5 linked regions of the Oryctolagus cuniculus genome follow. The protein of the gene in region 1 binds, or shares a complex with, the protein of each later gene. Links are inferred from orthologs where the notes say so. Each region holds a gene or a part of one and is shown in the gene's direction. Other genes may lie near its edges.

Region 1 (3,887 bases):
TATTTTGTTTTAAGATTTATTTTATGTGAAGGCAGAGTTATAGAGACAGAGAGATCTTCCATCCACTGATTCACTCTGTAAATGGCCACAACGGCTGGAGCTGGGCCAATCAAAAACCAGGAGCTTCTTCTGGGTCTCTCACATGGGTGTGGGGACCCAAGCACTTGGGCCATCTTCCATTGCTTTCCCAGGTGCATTAGTAGGGAGCTGGATTGGAAGTGGAATAACTGGTACTCAAACCAGTACCCAAATGGGATGCTGGTGCTGCAGGCAACAGCTTTATCTGCTTTGACATAGCACCAGCCCCAAAAAAGCATATAATGAAAAAATATGCATAGATTTCAAAAATTTTTTGTACCAAAATGGACTTAAAAATGCTTATTTATTTGAAAGAATGACAGAGAGAGATCATTCATCTACTGGAATACTCTCCAAATGACCACAATAGCCAGGTTTGGGAGCTGCATTCTGGACTCCCACGTGGGTAGCAGGGCCCAAGTATCTGGGTCATCTTCTGCCTTCCCAAGCACATTGGCAGGAAACTGAAACAGCAGTGGAGTAGCTGGGACTCAAAACTAGCAGTCCAGCATGGAAGTCAGTGTTGTAGGAGGTGGATTACCCATTGCACCACAACACTGGCCTCTAGGCTTGTTTTCTGATTCCATTTTCTACAGTCTTTGTGAAATACTCTCAGATACTAAAGAACATAGTACATTTTGTTTGAGCTTTTTTTTCTGTATGAGCTGTTAGTCATCTAAGCATCCCTCTGTGAGCCACCAAGGAGAGGGGAACCACTCCCCACATACACACTGGTATGCAGGACTGCTAAAGTAGTACCCGCTTGCCAGCTGGCCTTGTTCCATGCGTTGATCCCAGCCTGGGTCTGCCAGCGAAAGCCTGGGTGATGAGTAGGTCTCCGTCCGTTGCAGGTCAGGCCGGGAAGCTGATGTATGTCATGCACAACTCGGAGTACCCGTTGAGCTGCTTCGCCCTCTTTGAGAATGGCCCTTGCCTTATTGCTGACACCAACTTTGATGTGCTCATGGTGAAGCTCAAGGGCTTTTTCCAGAGTGCCAAGGCCAGCAAGATTGAGACTCGGGGCACCCGTTACCAGTACTGTGACTTCCTGGTGAAGGTGGGCACTGTGACAATGGGTCCCAGTGCCCGGGGCATCTCTGTGGAGGTAAGATCTCGGTGAAGTGGGAGCAGGTGGTGCTGAGGGGCTGCGCAGCAGAGGGCTCTGAAGGTTTTCCAGGCAGCCCAGGTCACACAGATGTTTTTGCCTGCCTGACCCCTGATTCCAAGCTCCTGGCTTTCTCTCCATGAATTTTTTACCCTTTCTTTCATCAGTTATGGAATCAGTAGCCCAGCATGGGAAATGGGAAGCTGGGTGCACAGCAGGTAAAAGCATACGATGCCTGACTTGCCGGAGAAGGGAAGGGAGAACTGAGGGAGACATGTGGGTGATGATGTGCAGGAGCTGTGGCAGGACCTGCAGCAGACTAGGACAACTTTTGGAGCCACTTTTGGAAGGTGACTCCTTCATCACTTTGAATGTCAGCCTCCTTATTGTTGCTTTGAAATGGGTCTCAGAAGTTGTGGAGTGAAAATGCGCCTTCCTTTTGATATGCTGCTGCTCTGTTTTGTGGTGCAGAGGGGTACCTGTATGAGAAGACTTCATCCGTGAGCCTAAATATACATACTGAAATTGGCAGAGAGGAGTAAGGTGGAAGCTGGCCCTGGGACCTGGGGAAGTCCATGGCCTACCACATACCCAGCATTATTTGAGATTAAAAAACAAGGAAGTTTACAGGGCTTGCATTTTGGAAATCTATGATTTATTAAGAGAACAAGGCTAGAAAACTGTTTTTGAAGTCAGTCCAAGAAATGCCATAAGTGGAGCACAGCTTTGCTCAGGGAATTCAGGCCAGCGGTAACTGCTGACTCGGTTGTGATGCTTCTGGGAGGAGCAGCATTGAAGTAGGGGCTTAAAACATAGAGACGTGGGATGGGTCGGTCTGGGAAGCATCCCAGGTGGGGAAAAGGGCAGTAGCAGTGATTTCTGCTCAGAAACCTCTGGAGCACAGATTCCCTAACTTTTCAGCTTGGGATACACCTTGAGTTGCTGAGACCCAACGGGACCCGCTGTTTGTCCTCCACTTCCACCCTTGTGGGACAAACACACTCAACAGTTTCTCCTTGTGACCCCAGTGAAAAACTAGGAGAGAGGAACAAGAAAACCTGAGATGTGTATTCTTGGCCGCTGCCACCTTGCTTGGGAAATTCTTTTAGGCGTAGAGCCCTGGCTATATCTGCCTTGGAAATAAAGATTGGTCTTGAAGAGGCTCATGAGGATGTGTGTCTACTCTGCCCTCTACTTACCCCTTCAGCCCTACTCCTGCCTTCCTCGTACCTACACACATTTTTCTTCCCTTCTCTCTTTGTTGTATGTCTCAGAATTTTCCTGAGCTCTCCTTGAATCCTCACCAAGCATCACAGCAGAGTCTGCAGAGCCCTGAGACAAACAAAAGGGACCCAGATCTGCCCATGGGGCTAACAGGGAGGGCTGCGGGCTGACAACCTCCAGGATGGCGTTTAATGGGAACAATGCTGGGTGTGTTGAATATTTCCTGTGGACAACACTGTGCTGGCAGGTGTGTGTTTTTGACTCAGGGTTGGGGGACATAGAGGCAGAGGGCAGGAGGGCAAGAGAGCAGACCTTGTCCTTGCCCTCCCTTACCCTCATTCTCTGTTCTTTTGGTCCCCAGGTGGAGTACGGCCCCTGCGTGGTAGCTAGTGACTGCTGGAGCCTGCTGCTTGAGTTCCTACAGAGTTTTCTAGGCAGCCATACACCAGGGATTCCTGCAGTGTTTGGAAACAGACACGACGCAGTCTATGGCCCAGCAGACACCATGGTCCAGTACATGGAACTCTTCAACAAGATCCGCAAGCAGCAGCAGGTGCCAGTGGCTGGGATTCGTTAGTGGCTGGCAGCTGCTGGCCAAGCTTTGTCACCAGAGGTACTCCACAGGAGGAGGTGCTGCCCTCAGGTCTCTGGACCCCAGAAATCTAGGGCAGCCATGGAGGCCTCTCTTCCTTTCCAGTTCCCAGCTGTGGCCTTTGTGGGGACTCTGGACTCCACACCCTTGACCCTCACACAGCCCCCCAACAGCCATTTTGCCCCAGGCCTCACTGGATTTGGCCTGTCCTCAGGAATGGTATTTATGAAGACTGGAGAAGTTTGGACCTCTCCTGCTTTAGGGGAAAAGGTAGGACAGGGGTGCCCCTGCCTAGTGTTGGTGGGGAAATCAGTCTGGACCCACAACAGATGTGCTGCGTTTCGTGTTTGGGCCATGCAGGAATAAAAATCTCTTCCTTAACTCAAAGGATGTGGCTGGAGATGCAGGCGGAAGCACAGCTTGTTTGATGCCTGTCATTTTCTGACCTGTTTGCCAGAAACTGTGAATTGACTTTCCTAGGGTGTTAGCTGAGTTTTTGAGCTCTCCTGTTGATGTCTTTCCCTTCTGTCGTGATTATGTTAAGCCACAGGCTAAACTCTGTCGTAGCGGAGAACCAAAAGGACTGTGGCTCTTACTAGGTAAAAGTTTCTTTCTCCTCTGATAGTACACAGGTAATCAGATGGTCCAGAGCAGATTTAACTGTACCAGGTCATCAGGAACTTGTTTTCCTTCTGTCTTGTTGTTCAGCTATCCCTAGGGTATTATCCTTACCCACAAGATCAAAGCAGACTCCTCAGTTCTGTGTCCACATTCCCCTGGGAAAGAGGGAAGAGAGCGGCTTTTTTTTTTAGAGCATATGACCTGGAGCGATTCAAGTGCTGGTGCCACACTTTGCTGGAAGGCTTCGCTGTGACGCGGAACCTTGCA
Region 2 (4,024 bases), on another chromosome or scaffold:
CCTTCTCCAGCCACACTGTTCCCTTTGGAAGAGGAGTCCTCGTTTCCCTGCTTGGCCCTTGCTCCGGATGCCCAGGATCCTGTTATTCTCTGCCCCGACAGAGCCTGAGAGGGCTGCTCATCCAGATTCAGAAGGTGGCTGAGGGATGGCTGTTGGGAGAGGGACGGGACTGGGACTTGTGGACTGGCACATCTGGTTCCTCAGGATACGGGGTTGGGGGCTAAAAGGAGGGGTGGCAGGACACTGGCCGAGGGCCCCCCCATTCCCTCTTGTCTCTGACTATAAATGTCTGGGGTGACCTGTCCTTATGACTGGGCAGGGGTGAGGCTGTATAGGGAGGCTTAGATCTCAGAGCCAGAGGTGGGGGATGTTTGCTTTCTGGCTTCTCACAGGAGGGAGAGAAGATTTAACGCCTAAAGCCCTGGACATTATAATCTACAATGTGATTCTTGGGATAAACAGGATTGCTTTTGGTATTTTATTTTATTTTTTGAAGAACTTATTTGTTTAACAGAAAGGCAGTATGACAAAGAGAGATCTTCCATCTGCTGGTTCACTCCCCAGATAACTGCAACAGCCAGGGCTCCAGGCCAAAGCTACGAGCCAGGAACTCCACCTAGGTCTCCCACGTGGGTGGCAGGGGCCCAAGTACTTCAGCCATCTTCTATTGCCTCCAAGGCACACTGGCAGGGAGCTGGATCAGAAGCAGAGTAGTCAGGATTCAAACCAGGCACTCCAATGTGGAATTCAGGTGTCCCAAAAGGCAGCTTAACCCGCTGCGTCATGCCTGCCCAATAAAACAGGGTTGGGGTGATATGGTGGCACAGTGGGTTAAGCTGTCCACTTGTGATGCTGGCATCCCACAGCAGCGTGCTGTACTGAGTTCTGGCTACTCTGCTTCGGCTCCAGCTTCCTCTTAATGTCCCTGGGATGGCAGCAGCAGACGGGCCCCTGCCACCCACGTGGGGGACCAGGATTGAGTTCCTGGTTCCTGGTTCCTGTCTGCAGCCTGGCCCAGCTCAGGCTGGCCAATTTCTAGCTCTGCACCCAGTTTCTCCTTTTATTAACATCTTGGCATTAGTATGATACATTTGTTAACAACTAATGAATCAACATCAATACATTGTTACTAACTGAAGTCTGCTTTGCTCATATTTCTTTAGTTTTTTGCCTAATGTGTTTTTTTTTTTTTTTTCTCTTTCAGGATCCCATCCTCAACACAATGCCTTTTGTCGTGTCCTCTTAGGCCATGTCGAGCAGTTTCTTGGATATTCCTTGTTTCTTAAACACGCTAACTTCGGTTTCCTCTTTATTTCCTACTGAATGGGCCAGGAGAGTATGTGAGGACGCTCAGATGCGGCTGTGAGGTGATGTGTGTGCCACTAACCGGCCTCAGTGTCGCCTGTGGGATGCAGGTGTGGAAATGAAAAGTCTCACAGCTCCAAGAGCTCAGTAGTGGGGGGGGGGGGGGGGATAAAAGACCAGGGAAGAGAAACGCCACACCCTGCCTACTAACTAGAGGGTAAGGAAAGGGTGTCGGAATAGGATGGAAGGGCCTGGTCGGCAGTGACGTCATTGGGCGACGCCCAGTTGCAAGCAGCTTTTCAAGCCCCCCACACACCCCGTGCCTCTGAGACGCTGTAGTGCCTCAACGCCTGGATATCCTTCTTAAAAGGAGATAAATAATGCGGCCTGACAAGTAGTCCCTTAGCTTCCTTTCCATGGCAAATACGACTTCCGTACAAGGAACTACAACTCCCAGAAGGCACCGTGGCGGGACTTGCCGTATCTCTACTGGTTCGTATTTGTTATCCTCAGCCAATAAGAATTGGGCTCTTTGATAAGTGCCAAAATGGCGCTCCCTAGGGTCTAGAGCTCGACTGTCCGGTAGGTTTAAATTTAGGGAGGTGGAAGATGAAAAGGATATAGGGAATTATAATTTCAGGGTTGGGGAAGATGGTGGAAGTGGGGGTGGGGGAGAAAGCTGAACGTGGGGTGGTAGAGGCCGAGGGACGCCGCCAGGGCTCGGGGAGTAATTGGCCATTGGAACTGGCTTAACCCTTTGCTACCCTCTTTAGTGTTTGTATTACCCGTTTGACACTCTCTTCCTCGTGCCCCAGTCCAAGAAGGGATGGATTAGGAGGGACGGGTCTGACAGGATCTCCACCTTGTCCCTTCCCCTTTTTTATTTCCTGCTCCTCGCTTCAATCGGTTCCCGTCTCCATTCTGTGGAGCTCTGCCCGCGGCTGTTCTCTTTCCCTGAAACTTATCTCCTCTTTAGCTCCATTTCTGCAACCTCAAAGCTGTTCTCTACGGGCCGCCGCCTCAGAGTGAAGGCATGAAGGTGGTCAACCTGAAGCAAGCCATTTTGCAAGCCTGGAAGGAACGATGGAGTGACTACCAGTGGGCAATCAACATGAAGAAATTCTTTCCCAAAGGAGCCACCTGGGACATTCTCAACCTGGCAGGTCTCAAGTGAAGTGGAAGGAAGGGTGGGAGGGATGAGCCCAGGGAAGTCGTAACCACCCAGCCTTACTTTGTTGTTCCTTTTACAGAAGCACTCCTGGAGCAGGCCATGATTGGACCTTCCCCCAATCCGCTCATCCTGTCCTACCTGAAGTATGCCATTAGTTCCCAGGTAAACCACTTCTTCCCCAAGGAATGATTTTGGGGGTGAATGACCTGGAGTGCAGTTGTCAACTTAGTTTTTTTTTTTTTAAAGATTTATTTGTTTATTTGAAAGGCAGAGTTACAGAGAGGAAGAGAGAGGGAGGGAGAGAGAAAGAGAGAGAGGTCTTCCATCCGCTGGTTCACTCCTCAGTGGCTGCAACAGCCAGAGCTGTGCTGATCAGAAGCCAGGAGCCAGGAGCTTCTTCCGGGTCTCCACTTGGGTGCAGGGGTCCAAGGACTTGGGCCGTCTTTTATCGTTTCCTTAGGCTCATTAGTAGGAAGCTGGAGTGGAAGTGGAGCAGCCAGACACAAACCGGTGCCCACATGGGATGCCGGCACTGCATGCAGTGGCTTTACCTGCTATTCCATGGTGCCAGCCCCTGAACTTACACTTTCTACATGAACTGTTTGAACAGATTGCTTCTTTGAGCTCAGTTTTCTTGTAAAAATAAGAATACTTCATATGTTGTGATGGGTATTTCATTTGCTTATTCTGTCAGTGCTTTTAGTACCAGACAGTGCTAGGCTCTGAGGAAAAAGCTGTAAACACGACCTGTTCCTGGTACACAGGAATTTAATGGGTGACATTCATACAGACTTGTAAAGCAGCAGTCACTTGATGGGTTTATGATAAGGGTTAGAACAGAGTACGGGGGCTCCCTGTTGGGTCAGCAGGTTAAGCTGCTGCCTGTTAGCTTGGCATCCCATATCGAGCACAGGTTGAAGTCCTTCCAATAACGTATCTGAGGAAGCAGTGCAAGATGGCTCAAGTCAGGCTGGCGCCGCGGCTCACTAGGCTGATCCTCCGCCTAGCGGCGCCAGCACACCGGGTTCTAGTCCTGGTTGGGGCGCCGGATTCTGTCCCGGTTGCCCCTCTTCCAGGCCAGCTCTCTGCTGTGGCCCAGGAGTGCAGGGGAGGATGGCCCAAGTGCTTGGGCCCTGCACCCCATGAGAGACCAGGAAAAGCACCTGGCTCCTGGCTCCTGCCATCGGATCAGCGCGGTGCGCTGGCCCCAGCGCGCCGGCCACGGCGGCCATTGGAGGGTGAACCAACGGCAAAAGGAAGACCTTTCTCTCTGTCTCTCTCTCTCACTGTCCACTCTGCCTGTCAAAAAAAAAAAAAAAAAAAAAAAAAGGTGGCTCAAGTCACCCAGATGGGAGACCCAGATAGAGTTCCAGGCCCCCTTGTTGTCATCTGAAGAGTGAGCAAGAAGATGGAGGATCTTTCTCCTTCTGCCTCTCCCTCTGTGTTTCAAATGAGTATAATAAGTCTTCTAATTTATTTTTAAAGAATAGAGTATAGGTACTGTGAGAGAACATGGAAGGGACATCTAATCCAGTCTGAGCAATCAGG
Region 3 (3,513 bases), on another chromosome or scaffold:
GAATCGGAAGTAGAGCAGCGGGCACTCCAACCAGTGCTCATATGGGATGCCAGCGTTGCAGGTGGCAGCTTAACCCACTGCACCGTGACACCGGCCCCACACTTGGGTTCTTGAGATAAGAGAGGATGGGAAGATGGCAAACATGTGGAGCTGGTGATAAGGGGAATGGGTTAGGAGTGTTTGAGCTATCAGGATGTGGTGGTGGAGCCCGTTGCTGTGGCCACAGATGGAAGGAGATTTGCAGAGGAGAAGATGGTGAGGGATTGAGGAAATGCAGAGGTGCCAGAGGGCATGACTCCTGCCAGACCTCCCTTCCCATCAGCGCCGTCCACAGGTGCTCTCTTTTGCCCTTGTCTCCAGCGTCTCCTCCCATCCATTTTCCTTCACCGCCAGCTAGCTACTATAGCACCTCTCTGCCTTGCATCTTCCCCAGGAGATGAATTCCCTCTTGGAGAACATCGCCAAGGCCACAATCGAGGTTTTCCAGCAGTCGGCGGAGACAGGGTCATCTTCCGGAAGCGCTGCAAGCAACATGCCCAGCAGCAGCAAGACCAAGCCTGTGCTCAGGTTGGGTAGAAACATGTTAGGACCCATTCCCTTATGAGTTTCTCTTCTGGTCCCAGGAATGGCGTCAGCCACGTGAGCTTGCTGAGCACGTCCGTCAAGGACAGGAGAGGATGGCTTGTTCAGCCTTGGCCTGGCTCCCCTATAACTGCATGTCCTCCATCTGTCCTCCAGCTCTCTTGAGCGTTCTGGTGTGTGGCTGGTGGCTCCCCTCATCGCCAAACTGCCCACGTCAGTCCAGGGGCATGTATTAAAGGCCGCCGGGGAGGAACTGGAGAAGGGTCAGCACCTGGGTTCCTCTTCCCGCAAAGAACGTGATCGGCAAAAGCAGAAGAGGTAAAAAGGGGCTGGAGCGACCAGGATTGAGGGGTAGAGATGAGAAGGGGCAGGCTCCGGGCAGAGTAAGATTGGAGGCTGAGAGCTGAGGATAAACATCATAAGAAAGGAGAAAATTGGGGCCTTAGGAGTGGGCCTGGCTGAGCAAAGAGGCTGCACCGTAAGAGGAATAGAGTCTGGAGCTTGGCAGAATGAGGTTGGAAGTTGCTCGCTCTCTAACCCATGGTCTCCCTTTTCCTTTCTTTCCCTCCTGTCCATAGTATGTCCCTGCTGAGCCAGCAGCCCTTTTTGTCACTGGTGCTGACGTGTCTGAAGGGGCAGGATGAGCAGCGGGAGGGACTCCTCACCTCCCTCTACAACCAGGTGCACCAGGTACAGGTCCTGGGCCATGCAGGTGGGCAGGAGAGAAGGGGCTGATGCACTTTTGAGGCCTCTGTATGCTGGAAACCTTCACCACTCGCTGATAACGCACATTTGGGCGCCTCGGTATGAACACAAGAAGGTACCCGAGCAACTTGGTGCATTTATTTCTATCCTAGATTGTGAAGAATTGGCGGGATGGCCAGTACTTAGATGACTGCAAACCCAAGCAGCTAATGCATGAGGCACTCAAACTGCGGCTCAACTTGGTGAGCAGGGGAGCCGGGGAGAAAAAGGGAGAGAGGGAGGCTGGAAAAGGCAGAGGAAAGAAGACCCTGGTCAGGGATGGCGAGGCTGAGGGTGGGGGTCCCAGGTTTCTCTGGGTCTACAACTATTAACCCTGCTCTCCTAAAAGACACAGGTCCTGAAATGGTTCTTGGGACTAGATCACCCTGGTCAGGGTCCAGTGGGTTGCGTGCATACCCTAGATCCTTGCAGGGATCCTGCCTCAGTATCCCACACTGTGGCCAGGCCCTAGAAACCCTGGAAATGCACTATGAAATGTGGAGTAGTATCCTGGAGATCATGTGGTCCGGCCCCCGTCATTCTCTAAATAAGGAAATAGAGGCCCTAAGATGTCAAGAATTCAGTCGTCAGCCTGAGATCATGTAGCAAATCCCAGGCACAGCTGAAACCTGGCCTCAGGTGTCCCGAGTCCCACCTAGCCCCGCTTCTAAGATCTAAGCCTGCCTTCAAGCCTGCCCATCGTCCCCGAGCCATCTGACTGACTTGTGGCCCTGGCAGGTGGGGGGCATGTTTGACACAGTACAGCGCAGCACCCAGCAGACCACGGAGTGGGCCATACTCCTCCTGGAGATCATCATCAGCGGCACCGTCGACATGCAGTCCAACAAGTAAAGCATCCCTGGCCCCGCCCCGGCCCCCTGTTCACGCCCCCAGAAGCCCCCCCCCCCACCAGCCTCACCCCACCCCGCTCCGCTCCAGGTCCATGGTCCACTGAGATCAGTGTGGCCCTGGGTGTTCCTCACCCAGTCTTGGTGCCTTTGGGATGACAGATCAGGCACCGCTGTCTGCTAAGGCCTTTTTCTGCCTGAACCTTTTTCTTCTCTGAGTTTCTCCTTGGCTCTCTGTCACAGCGAGCTCTTCACTACCGTGTTGGACATGCTGAGTGTCCTGATCAATGGGACGTTGGCTGCAGACATGTCCAGCATCTCCCAGGGCAGCATGGAGGAAAACAAGCGTGCATACATGAACCTAGTGAAGAAGCTACAGGTGAGCAGAAGATGCCAGGGCCGGGGCTTGGAGGTCATGGGATCATGGCCCCCTCTCCCCTGACACGGCGCTTGCTGCCCAGCCTCAGGAACTTCATTCTGGCCCACACCTTCCTTACCTTTCCCTTTCACATACTTTTCACTAATTTTTTTCTTTGTTTTGCACACAGTGAGGATTTACCAAGATGTTATCTTTATGCTAGGTTCACTGCTCCCTCCTGAGATTTCCTGACCCTGTTTTTCTGTAACTTTGACCTCTTGTCCCTTCTTCCCGGGCCTGCAGAAAGAGTTGGGGGAGCACCAGTCAGACAGTCTGGAAAAGGTTCGCCAGCTGCTGCCACTGCCTAAGCAGACCCGAGATGTCATCACGTGTGAGCCCCAGGGCTCCCTCATCGACACCAAGGGCAACAAGATCGCCGGCTTCGATTCCATCTTCAAGAAGGAGGCATGTTCCATTGTCTTGCCACGCCCTCTGCCCCTTTCCCTCCTTGAGCCAAAGGTGTCCCTGCCTTAACCTCGTGGCTACAAGGGCCTCAGTAGACTCAGGAGTCCATTAGGCTCTGCCAGTGGCGGAAGCCATCTCTGGTGTTTAGAGTGAATCATTTACCTCTCCTTACATGTCTTCTCCCCATCTTTGAAGTCCCACTCTCTTTCATTGCTCTCTCTCTCTCTCTCTCAACCCCCACCTATCTCTCAGTACCCCACCCTCCTCTTGCCTCTGCCCCACCCCCTTCCTGTCCTGTCCCCACCCCTCTATTTGGCTAAGGATGCAGATCTCTTTTATCCGTGCATATCCTCCACCCCACCCCACCCCATCTCTGCAGTTTCCTCTTGTCCCTCTGTGTCAGTGGTAGTATCTGTTGAATAGCTGTAATCATTGTATGTCGCAGCACTGAGAGGAGAAGGAGGATGCAGGGTTTCAAATCCAAAGTCCATTCGGATGTGCATTCTCTGCGTTGCT
Region 4 (4,060 bases), on another chromosome or scaffold:
TTGGGCAAGTGTAGAACTCCTAGCAAGTCCCTGACCTTTTGCCCCTTGCAAACGCAGCTTCCATGGCACGGTGCAACATTCGGTACGGTATACTCTCAACTGGTACAAGAAAGCTACAGACTGCTCCAAACTACAGTTAAAGCAAATGAGAGTCACTTGGCATTGGTACCATGATATGGGAAGTGTCTCACCTGTGTGGTTCCCCCAGCAGGTCAGGTCTATTGACGCAGAGGTGGGGCTTCCCAGAAAGGGCCGGGCTCAGTCCTGCAAGCTGAGTTCCCCAAGGACTGTCTCCCCCACTGCCATGCTTTGAATGTGTCTGCCGCATTCATGCATCTAAGGAATGCACCAGAAGGAGCTGTCACACCAAGTCATATATCTGCAGCAGACAAGGAGACCACAAGGAGTCATTTCCAAAGCCGTGACTCTGTGAGCAGGGGAGAGGGAAAGATGAGCAGGTAAGAGGGAGGTTCTGATCACACCTGGGGGTGGGTACAGGTCCATGAAGGTACAGTTTGGAAGAATGCTCCAACACTGGCTGCACCATACGGCAGCACAGCTCACACTCCCCCTGGGGTGGAGCTCTTAGTGTTAACATGAAGCAAAAGGTGAGGTGTGGATACTCTGTGACCCGCCTGCGCCGGCCTTGCTCCTGCAGTAGGGTCCCGAGCAGTCCAGGATAGCTAGGGAACTGCATCTCTCTCTGGCATGTGACAGCAAACCTGAACTACATCAGGTGCCTTTGAGATGTGCAAGTAGAGATGAGTCAGTTGACAGTTTCTGAGCTGTGCAGGGCAGTGATAGGGAAAGGTGACTCGGCCCTTCTGAGTGGATTAATCCACTGGATTACTGGGGTAGCCCTGGGCAGGCGGTGGGTGTGTGGCATGGTGGCTAAGGCACTGCTTGGGACAGCTGCATCACAGGGCTTGAGTTCGAATCCCAGCTCTGCTCCTGATTTTAGCTTCTGCTAGTGAGCACCAGATAGGCAGCAGGTTATAGCTGGAGTGGTTCCCAGGTGGGAGACCTGCACTGAGTTCCAGGCTCTGGCTTTGGCCAGGCTCAGCCCCTAGTTGCTGCAGGCACTTGGAAAATCAATCAGCAGATAGAACTTAATCTGCCTCTCTAATAAAATGACAATATATAAATAAATTTTTAAATACATGGGAAAGTAGGACAAACCACTAAATAATCCCACAGAATTCAACGATCTCGGTAAACAGCTGACCACCTCACAACCTGAAAGGGAGCCCAGTCGCGCAAAGGATGCCGGGCCCCAGCCGCTGCAGGTCCAGGTAGCTCACCCGGCGTTCTCCCCGGCACCCGCCCCTCCTCGCGGGGCGTGTCCTCCATGACCCCACCCCTTCCGGAGAGCCGCACTCTGATTGGCCGTGACCCGTACGAAAGCTGGCCAATCGCGTAGGAGCAGCTGCTGCAGCGTCTCTGCGTGCGGGAGGAACATGGCGGACCGCCTCACACAGCTGCAAGACGCCGTGAACTCGGTAGGCGCTTTAATTCGCTTACTTGCGGTCTGCCTCATTCCTGAGGTAAAACGGGGGAGGAGAAGAGGCCCGAGACGCAGCCTTCGGCGGTGGCGAGCAGATGGAGGCGGTGCCTCTGCGAATTCGGGGCGTTCGAGGCCGGCCGCGGGGGCCGCGGAGGGAGCAGCCCCTTTGCCCGGCGGCGGCCTCACGGGGCTCGCCGGACACTGGTGCTGGGGGCGGGAGGAGAAGAAAGCAGACGCGGTTCTCTGCGTATACCTCGGCCCCGGGGCCCTGGAGACTGCGTCTCGGTGCGACGCCTTAGCCGGGCTCCGGTACTTCGAGGGGCGGGAGCAGGAGCGGTGGCGCCTGGAGAAGTTGTGTTCGCTCCCTCAGGCGGGGATGGCGAGAGCTGACGTCTGGAAGCTTGTGAACCTTGTGTCGGGCGTTGAGGTCCCTGGGTTTGAGAAGCGGCTCCCCTGGCGTTGTCCCTGGCGATGCTTTGCACCTGAGAGTGCGTGCGAGCCCTAGGCCCTGGGCTTGGAGCGGCCGCTGGCTGCCCTGCCTGCTGGGGCTGCTGTCCCCGGGCGGGTGCCTGGGCGGGCACTGTGATTGTTCACCCCCCAGCCCTTGAAGCTGACGAGCCGAGCGCTTGCAGAGCGCCAGCGTGCTGTGAACAGCGCGGGAGCTTGCGAGGCTGAGCGGGCAGCCACCGAGTGTGGGTGACATCCTGCCAGGCCCTCGGGGAGCTTCTACACATGCTGGTGCTGGATGGAAGCCTTCCTTCGTGGCCTGGCCCCTGGAGGCGAGGCAGGGCGGAGGGAGTGTGGCCTCTCCCCCAGGGGGAGGCCTGCTGGTAGCTGGGGTCTCCAGAGAAGCCTTCAGGGTACGCCATGAGCGCCTGCTGTGTCGGAGCCCAATCGTAGTTCCAAAGGGACAGCCTGAAGGGCATAAGGATGATGTCACATACTCAGGGGACGTTTAAATGATGTAAAAACACTATGGGGTTAGGGAGTTAGAATGAATGCGGTGTTTTCAGCTGTCAGTGCTGAGTAAATTGGAATATGGAGCCATGCGCCCTGAAATACTGAATTATCGTAATCGTAATTATTCATGTCGTGTTCACCATATTTGTGTTACGGCTGTTAGGTTTATGTTCGTTTCTTGCCGTGGAGTTTTTTTCAATCACTGTTTGTTGAATGAACGTCTAAATGGATCTTGAAAGCTTGTGAGGGACAGTACAGATAGCCACTGTGTTGAAGGGTTTTTTGTGCGTTTCCGCTGTTTGTCCGGTTAATCAAACCAGGATTAGAATCTAGGTTTATATAGCTTCCAAGCTCTTCCCCCTCCATTGCAAATAGCAAACCAGCAAACTGATAACTAGCGAGTAACTGTGAGGGAGTAAAATGTGAAAAATGTTTAGGAAGAGCTGGCTGAGATTATTATTGAAAAGTTGGAAACCGCTTGCTGACCGCAGTGGAGTGAGCCGGCGGTTTTTGTGCAGGGGGGAATACGATGGGTAACCAGAGAACAGTGAGGGCGCGATTGCAGTAATTCTGGCAGGAGGTAAGTGATGGAACAGAAGGGGGAGAATGAACCATCCGCGGGATAGGAAGCTGGAAGGCATGAGGCTCTGGAATGAGACTGGTTGGCTAGGACGCTCTCAAGACCAGTTAGATACTTATCCGGGGAGCAGGTGACTTCGAGTCCGGCCATTGCAGTCATGGCGGAGAAGGGCGGTGGAAATGCTTCCTCACTGATGGGAAATAGGACTTGAGGTCTGAGAGGTCAGGCCTAGTGAGAGGATTGGTGGGGAGCTGTGGTCCCTGGTTGAAGATGGTAAGGCACTGGTTTCTCAGTCTTGAGAGCTGCTGAAGGAATACTTTAACAACGCGAGCCTTAGCACTGCATTAGAAAAGGCACCTTATTTCCCCTATTTCTTTGCCTTGTGAACACTGAGATCTCAGAAAAGGAATTGTATATGAGTAACACTTTTTTAAATTAAATCTGGGGCCATACGTGGAAAGTCTCGTTGCCTGTAATATTGGCACAAAATTGTCTTTATCATTCTGTTAGCTTCAGAAGACAAGAAAGATGATACAAGTTTGCATGGGCTGCAAAATTTTTTTGCATAAAAATATATTGATCTTTTAATTCCATTTTTACTGTCTCATCTAGATTGATATCAACACCACCTAGGTTGATACTAAGTTTATTTGCATGGTTGAAATATCTAATCATTGTTAACACACTGGCTTGTTTTATCCGAAATTACTCCTTTCTGATTCACTCCCCTGCTCAGAGAGCATTGTTTTGGGAAACTTGTTGCCATTACCAGCAAAAGCTTTAGACTTGATAAACTTTGTATAATCCTGACCTGTTTTCTCTGGCCCAAGCTTGCAGATCAGTTCTGTAACGCCATTGGAGTGCTGCAGCAGGGTGGGCCTCCTGCCTCTTTTAACAACATTCAGACAGCCATTAACAAAGACCAGCCTGCTAATCCCACCGAAGGTAAACAGCTTTTCTTGGCTTCCCTTTATTTGATTCTCGGACTTCGTGTAATCCTTTAAATTAGATTTATT
Region 5 (3,513 bases), on another chromosome or scaffold:
CAGGGATCATTCATCTGCCTCTTCCTCCCCAAATGACCACAAGCCAGGCGGCAGGAGCTCCGTCCGGGTCTCCCACGTGGGTGCAGGGCCCAAGCACTCAGGTCGTCGCCTGCTGCTGCCCCAGGCGCGCCAGCAGGGAGCTGGATGGGCAGCGGAGCAGCCGGGCCCCGTATGCGATGCCGGTGTCGCAGGTGCCGGTGCCAGCTCCGTGGGGAAGCTGTGTCCTGTGACCGGCAGTGTTTGTTTCTGTTCCCCAGTAGAAGCGTTGCTCATCTCTGACAGAATGTTTGTTTTTCTCTCTGAGTTCTGTTTGTGTTCATTCAGAAGAAAGAGCAAGTTTTAGGATTTCAAAGTTTAGCCTTTCACTGTGGCCCTCGGACTTTTTTTTTTAATGGTTTTAGCATTTATTCAGTGAGAGAAGAAATACACAGGAGAGTGAGGGCTTTATAAGAGGGAGAGGGAGCTGAGGGGTTCACCAGGCTTTTCCAGGGAGTGGACGGAGGCTGGGAGAGCACTCGTGGGCCGCGGGTGAGCAGGTCTCGGGCCAGCGGGCTCTTTGTTCCAAACAAGGAGCGGTGTTGACCTCGGGCGTTTTGGCAGTTCACGGTGCCCTGGCAGCCGCCGTCTCGTCTCGTCTCGGTCCAGGTGACCGTGGACTGCCCCTTGGAGCATGTCCAGAGAGGCCAGTGATGGTGGACCAGGCCCAGGGGGTGCAGGTGCCCGGCGGGGGCTTGGGTCTGCTCCCGCCCTAATGGATGTGGCCATCCGTTTGTTGAAGACACGTTTTCCAAGGCCCCCAGGTGCACAGGCTGGTGGTGAGAGGGCTTGGACCCGCCCGTGTGTGGGCTCGTCCTGCAAGGTCCACACTGCCGGGATGGTGGGTTGACGGCGTTCTGCAAGAAGCGCCAGAGACCGGTTTTGGTGAACAAGTCTGCTTATTGACGATCAAGCATGAGATAGAAAAGGGCAGGCGGGGGGCGTGGCTAATTCAGGGCAACACCAGCGCTAGAGGGTAAGGCCGCCGTTGGCGCGCTCTGCTTCTCAACCAGCTTGAAGGTCCTGCAGCCTTCCTGATGGGCCTGGGCCGCGCCCGGGGGCTGTTTACCTGATGGGCAGTTCCGGGCTCTTCCGCAGGAGGCTGGGGTGGGGGAACGGGCCTGGGGCTGCTGCTGCCTGCCCGCAGTGAGGCTAACTTGCGTGGGCCAGGCACAGGGTCACCCACAGCCCTGCAGCAGGCCCTGCCCCCTCCCCACAGGAGCGGCCGAGTGCGAGCGTGCCTGTGCCTGTGCCTGGGTGTTTTCCCTGGGCCGCACCCGCGGAGTGCTGAGTGCCTGAGCAGACACAGATCGGCTGCAGGTTGGAAGGCCGCAAGTCTGGGTTCCAGGCGCCGGCCAGGCCTCTCTCTGGGGGCCAATGGGCGAGGCTTGGTTTCCTTTCCCGGCTTCTGGTCGTCCCAGATGCCCCTGGCTTGTGTCGCCCCCGTCATCACACAGCTCCCTCGGCTGGCGCCGTCTTCCCCTGTTACCGGAGAAATTGCAGGGTTCTTGTCTTCGCGCAAGAAAGAATTCAGGCGTGAGACAGAGAGCAGTGGGAGGTAAAATAGTAAAATAGCAAGGTTTATTAGGGAAGGGACATCCGTGAGGATGGATGGGCACCTCTCCAGACAGGACCTGGGAAAGAGTGCAGTCGCTCGGACTGGGGGGGGGGGGGGGGGGATGTTACATGGTTGAGTGGAGAGAGTACACCTGACCAGACCAGGCGGGCGGCTCAGCAGAGAGGCAGAGGGCTGAGCGCGCAGTCCGGTTGAGGCTGGGGGCGGGGGGGGGGGAGGGTTAAGGAGATGGGTCTCTGTCTTCACACATCTCCTCCTGAATCAAAGGATTTTATGGCTGTAAATATTAAGAAGCTCCTATCTGAGTTTTCCCCTGAAGGTATCAGACAGGAGGAAGCCCAGCTGGCGCCATCCTGGGTTCAGAGGAAGGGTGAGCAGGACCCCCTGGAGAATGGGGATCCGGAGCAGGGTGTTTGAGATGCAGGTACTGGGCTGCACCTGGGAGACTGTGGAGGATTTGTCAGGCGGAAGTCGGGGGGAATCTCCACCTGGCAGGTCATCAGGTAGAAGGGGGCAGGGCAGGATGTGAAGATGCGAATACCGGGCTGCCCCTGTAACACCATCAGGATGACTTTGAGATGCAGATGCATATGCTGAACGTAGAAGTTTTCTCGGGAGGCCTTTGGCACACACACGTAAGCTCATAACTGACTTCCTGCCTAACACCCCAGGGTCTGCCCTGCTGTCCCCTGGTGACCTGTTTAACTCGATCACCTGGGGAGAACGCGTGTTTCCAGGTGGGCGAGGGGCACCGTGGGTGATGCCCTGCCTGGGACGCAGCGTCCGCTGCCCAGCGCCCGGAGGCAGCAGGTGGAGCTCGGGTGCCTGGACCCCTGCCACCCACGTTTGCCCTGCGTGCAGCTCCCAGCTGCTGGCTCTGGCTTTGCCCAGCCCTGGCTGTTGCAGGCATTTGGGGAGGGGAGTGAACGCACGGTTAGGAGGAGTATCACCGCCTGTGTGTGTGTTGTGGGGGTGCTTTTCAAGTAAAATTTAAAAAAGTTTTTAAAGATCCCATTTACAGTCGGGTCACATTTTGAGGTACTAGGGGCAGGATCTCAGCTTGTTTTATTTGGGGAGAGGGAGACACTCAAACCCACCAGGTGCTGGGAGACAAAGGGGTCCCTCTACCTGCTGGGAAGGTGAGGTGAGCCCAGGGCTGGCTTTAAAGATGGACTAGATGGCCAGGGGTGTGGAGTGTGGACAGGGTCATCCCAGGATCAGGACAGCACAGGTGCCCCGTCCACGCCCTTGGCCTGGTGCTGTGCCCACTGCGGGGACAGTGCAGGGAACACAGGCCGGCGGGGGGGCGAGGGGCACGTTGGCTGACCCCTGACCTCCGGCAGGTTCATGGGCGGGGGCGGTGAGAGCTGCAGCCTCATCGCCGAAGGCCTCAGCACAGCCCTGCAGCTGTTCGACGACTTCAAGAAGATGCGGGAGCAGATGTGAGTGCCCCTCGCGCGGCCTGGGCCGGGCTCGTGCCAGCTGGCCCGGGACCACGTGGTCTGTGGTGGGGGCGTGGGGCAGGCAGCTGGGGTCGGGGTCTGCGGCCTCCTCAAGGCCCCGTGGTGGCTGCTCCATGCCTTTCTTGACCTGCAGCGGCCAGACGCACCGCGTGTGCCTGCTGATCTGCAACTCCCCCCCGTACCTGCTGCCCGCCGTGGAGAGCACCACGTACTCGGGCTGCACGACCGACAGCCTGGTGCAGAAGATTGGGGAGGTGAGGACCCAGAGTGCCCTGGGCAGCTCCCCGAGTCTGCCGTCCCTGCCTCGGCCAGTGAGAACTGTGGTTAAGGCCTGTCAGGTGTGGGCACCCGGGGCTGGCCCCGCGTCCCCCCTGCTCTGCTCTGCTCTGCCCTACATCAGGGCACCCACTTCCTGTCGTATCCCCCCCACAGCAGGGC

What was found.
Region 2: MED20 (region 1) and MED24 share a complex: the UniProt entries of both Homo sapiens proteins name them as parts of the mediator complex. The link is inferred for Oryctolagus cuniculus from reciprocal best matches to the Homo sapiens genes MED20 and MED24.
Region 3: MED20 (region 1) and MED12 share a complex: the UniProt entries of both Homo sapiens proteins name them as parts of the mediator complex. The link is inferred for Oryctolagus cuniculus from reciprocal best matches to the Homo sapiens genes MED20 and MED12.
Region 4: MED20 (region 1) and MED21 share a complex: the UniProt entries of both Homo sapiens proteins name them as parts of the mediator complex. The link is inferred for Oryctolagus cuniculus from reciprocal best matches to the Homo sapiens genes MED20 and MED21.
Region 5: MED20 (region 1) and MED25 share a complex: the UniProt entries of both Homo sapiens proteins name them as parts of the mediator complex. The link is inferred for Oryctolagus cuniculus from reciprocal best matches to the Homo sapiens genes MED20 and MED25.

The regions. Positions count from the first base shown.
Region 1 is NC_091436.1:127,992,846-127,996,732, forward strand, and holds the end of MED20 (mediator of RNA polymerase II transcription subunit 20), read left to right. Parts: intron 1-929; coding exon 930-1,183; intron 1,184-2,457; exon of another isoform or gene 2,458-2,654; intron 2,655-2,768; coding exon 2,769-2,984; 3' UTR 2,985-3,386; downstream 3,387-3,887. UniProt on the Homo sapiens protein: Component of the Mediator complex, a coactivator involved in the regulated transcription of nearly all RNA polymerase II-dependent genes.
Region 2 is NC_091448.1:22,377,078-22,381,101, forward strand, and holds the start of MED24 (mediator of RNA polymerase II transcription subunit 24), read left to right. Parts: upstream 1-1,213; 5' UTR 1,214-1,797; intron 1,798-1,813; exon of another isoform or gene 1,814-1,887; intron 1,888-2,281; 5' UTR 2,282-2,338; coding exon 2,339-2,468; intron 2,469-2,555; coding exon 2,556-2,638; intron 2,639-4,024. UniProt on the Homo sapiens protein: Component of the Mediator complex, a coactivator involved in the regulated transcription of nearly all RNA polymerase II-dependent genes.
Region 3 is NC_091453.1:50,938,503-50,942,015, forward strand, and holds part of MED12 (mediator of RNA polymerase II transcription subunit 12), read left to right. Parts: intron 1-433; coding exon 434-567; intron 568-738; coding exon 739-900; intron 901-1,160; coding exon 1,161-1,272; intron 1,273-1,439; coding exon 1,440-1,529; intron 1,530-2,064; coding exon 2,065-2,174; intron 2,175-2,417; coding exon 2,418-2,553; intron 2,554-2,835; coding exon 2,836-2,997; intron 2,998-3,513. UniProt on the Homo sapiens protein: Component of the Mediator complex, a coactivator involved in the regulated transcription of nearly all RNA polymerase II-dependent genes.
Region 4 is NC_091440.1:124,254,646-124,258,705, forward strand, and holds the start of MED21 (mediator of RNA polymerase II transcription subunit 21), read left to right. Parts: upstream 1-1,256; 5' UTR 1,257-1,457; coding exon 1,458-1,499; intron 1,500-3,874; coding exon 3,875-3,989; intron 3,990-4,060. UniProt on the Homo sapiens protein: Component of the Mediator complex, a coactivator involved in the regulated transcription of nearly all RNA polymerase II-dependent genes.
Region 5 is NC_091449.1:7,732,031-7,735,543, reverse strand, and holds part of MED25 (mediator of RNA polymerase II transcription subunit 25), read left to right. Parts: intron 1-2,955; coding exon 2,956-3,054; intron 3,055-3,208; coding exon 3,209-3,329; intron 3,330-3,513. UniProt on the Homo sapiens protein: Component of the Mediator complex, a coactivator involved in the regulated transcription of nearly all RNA polymerase II-dependent genes.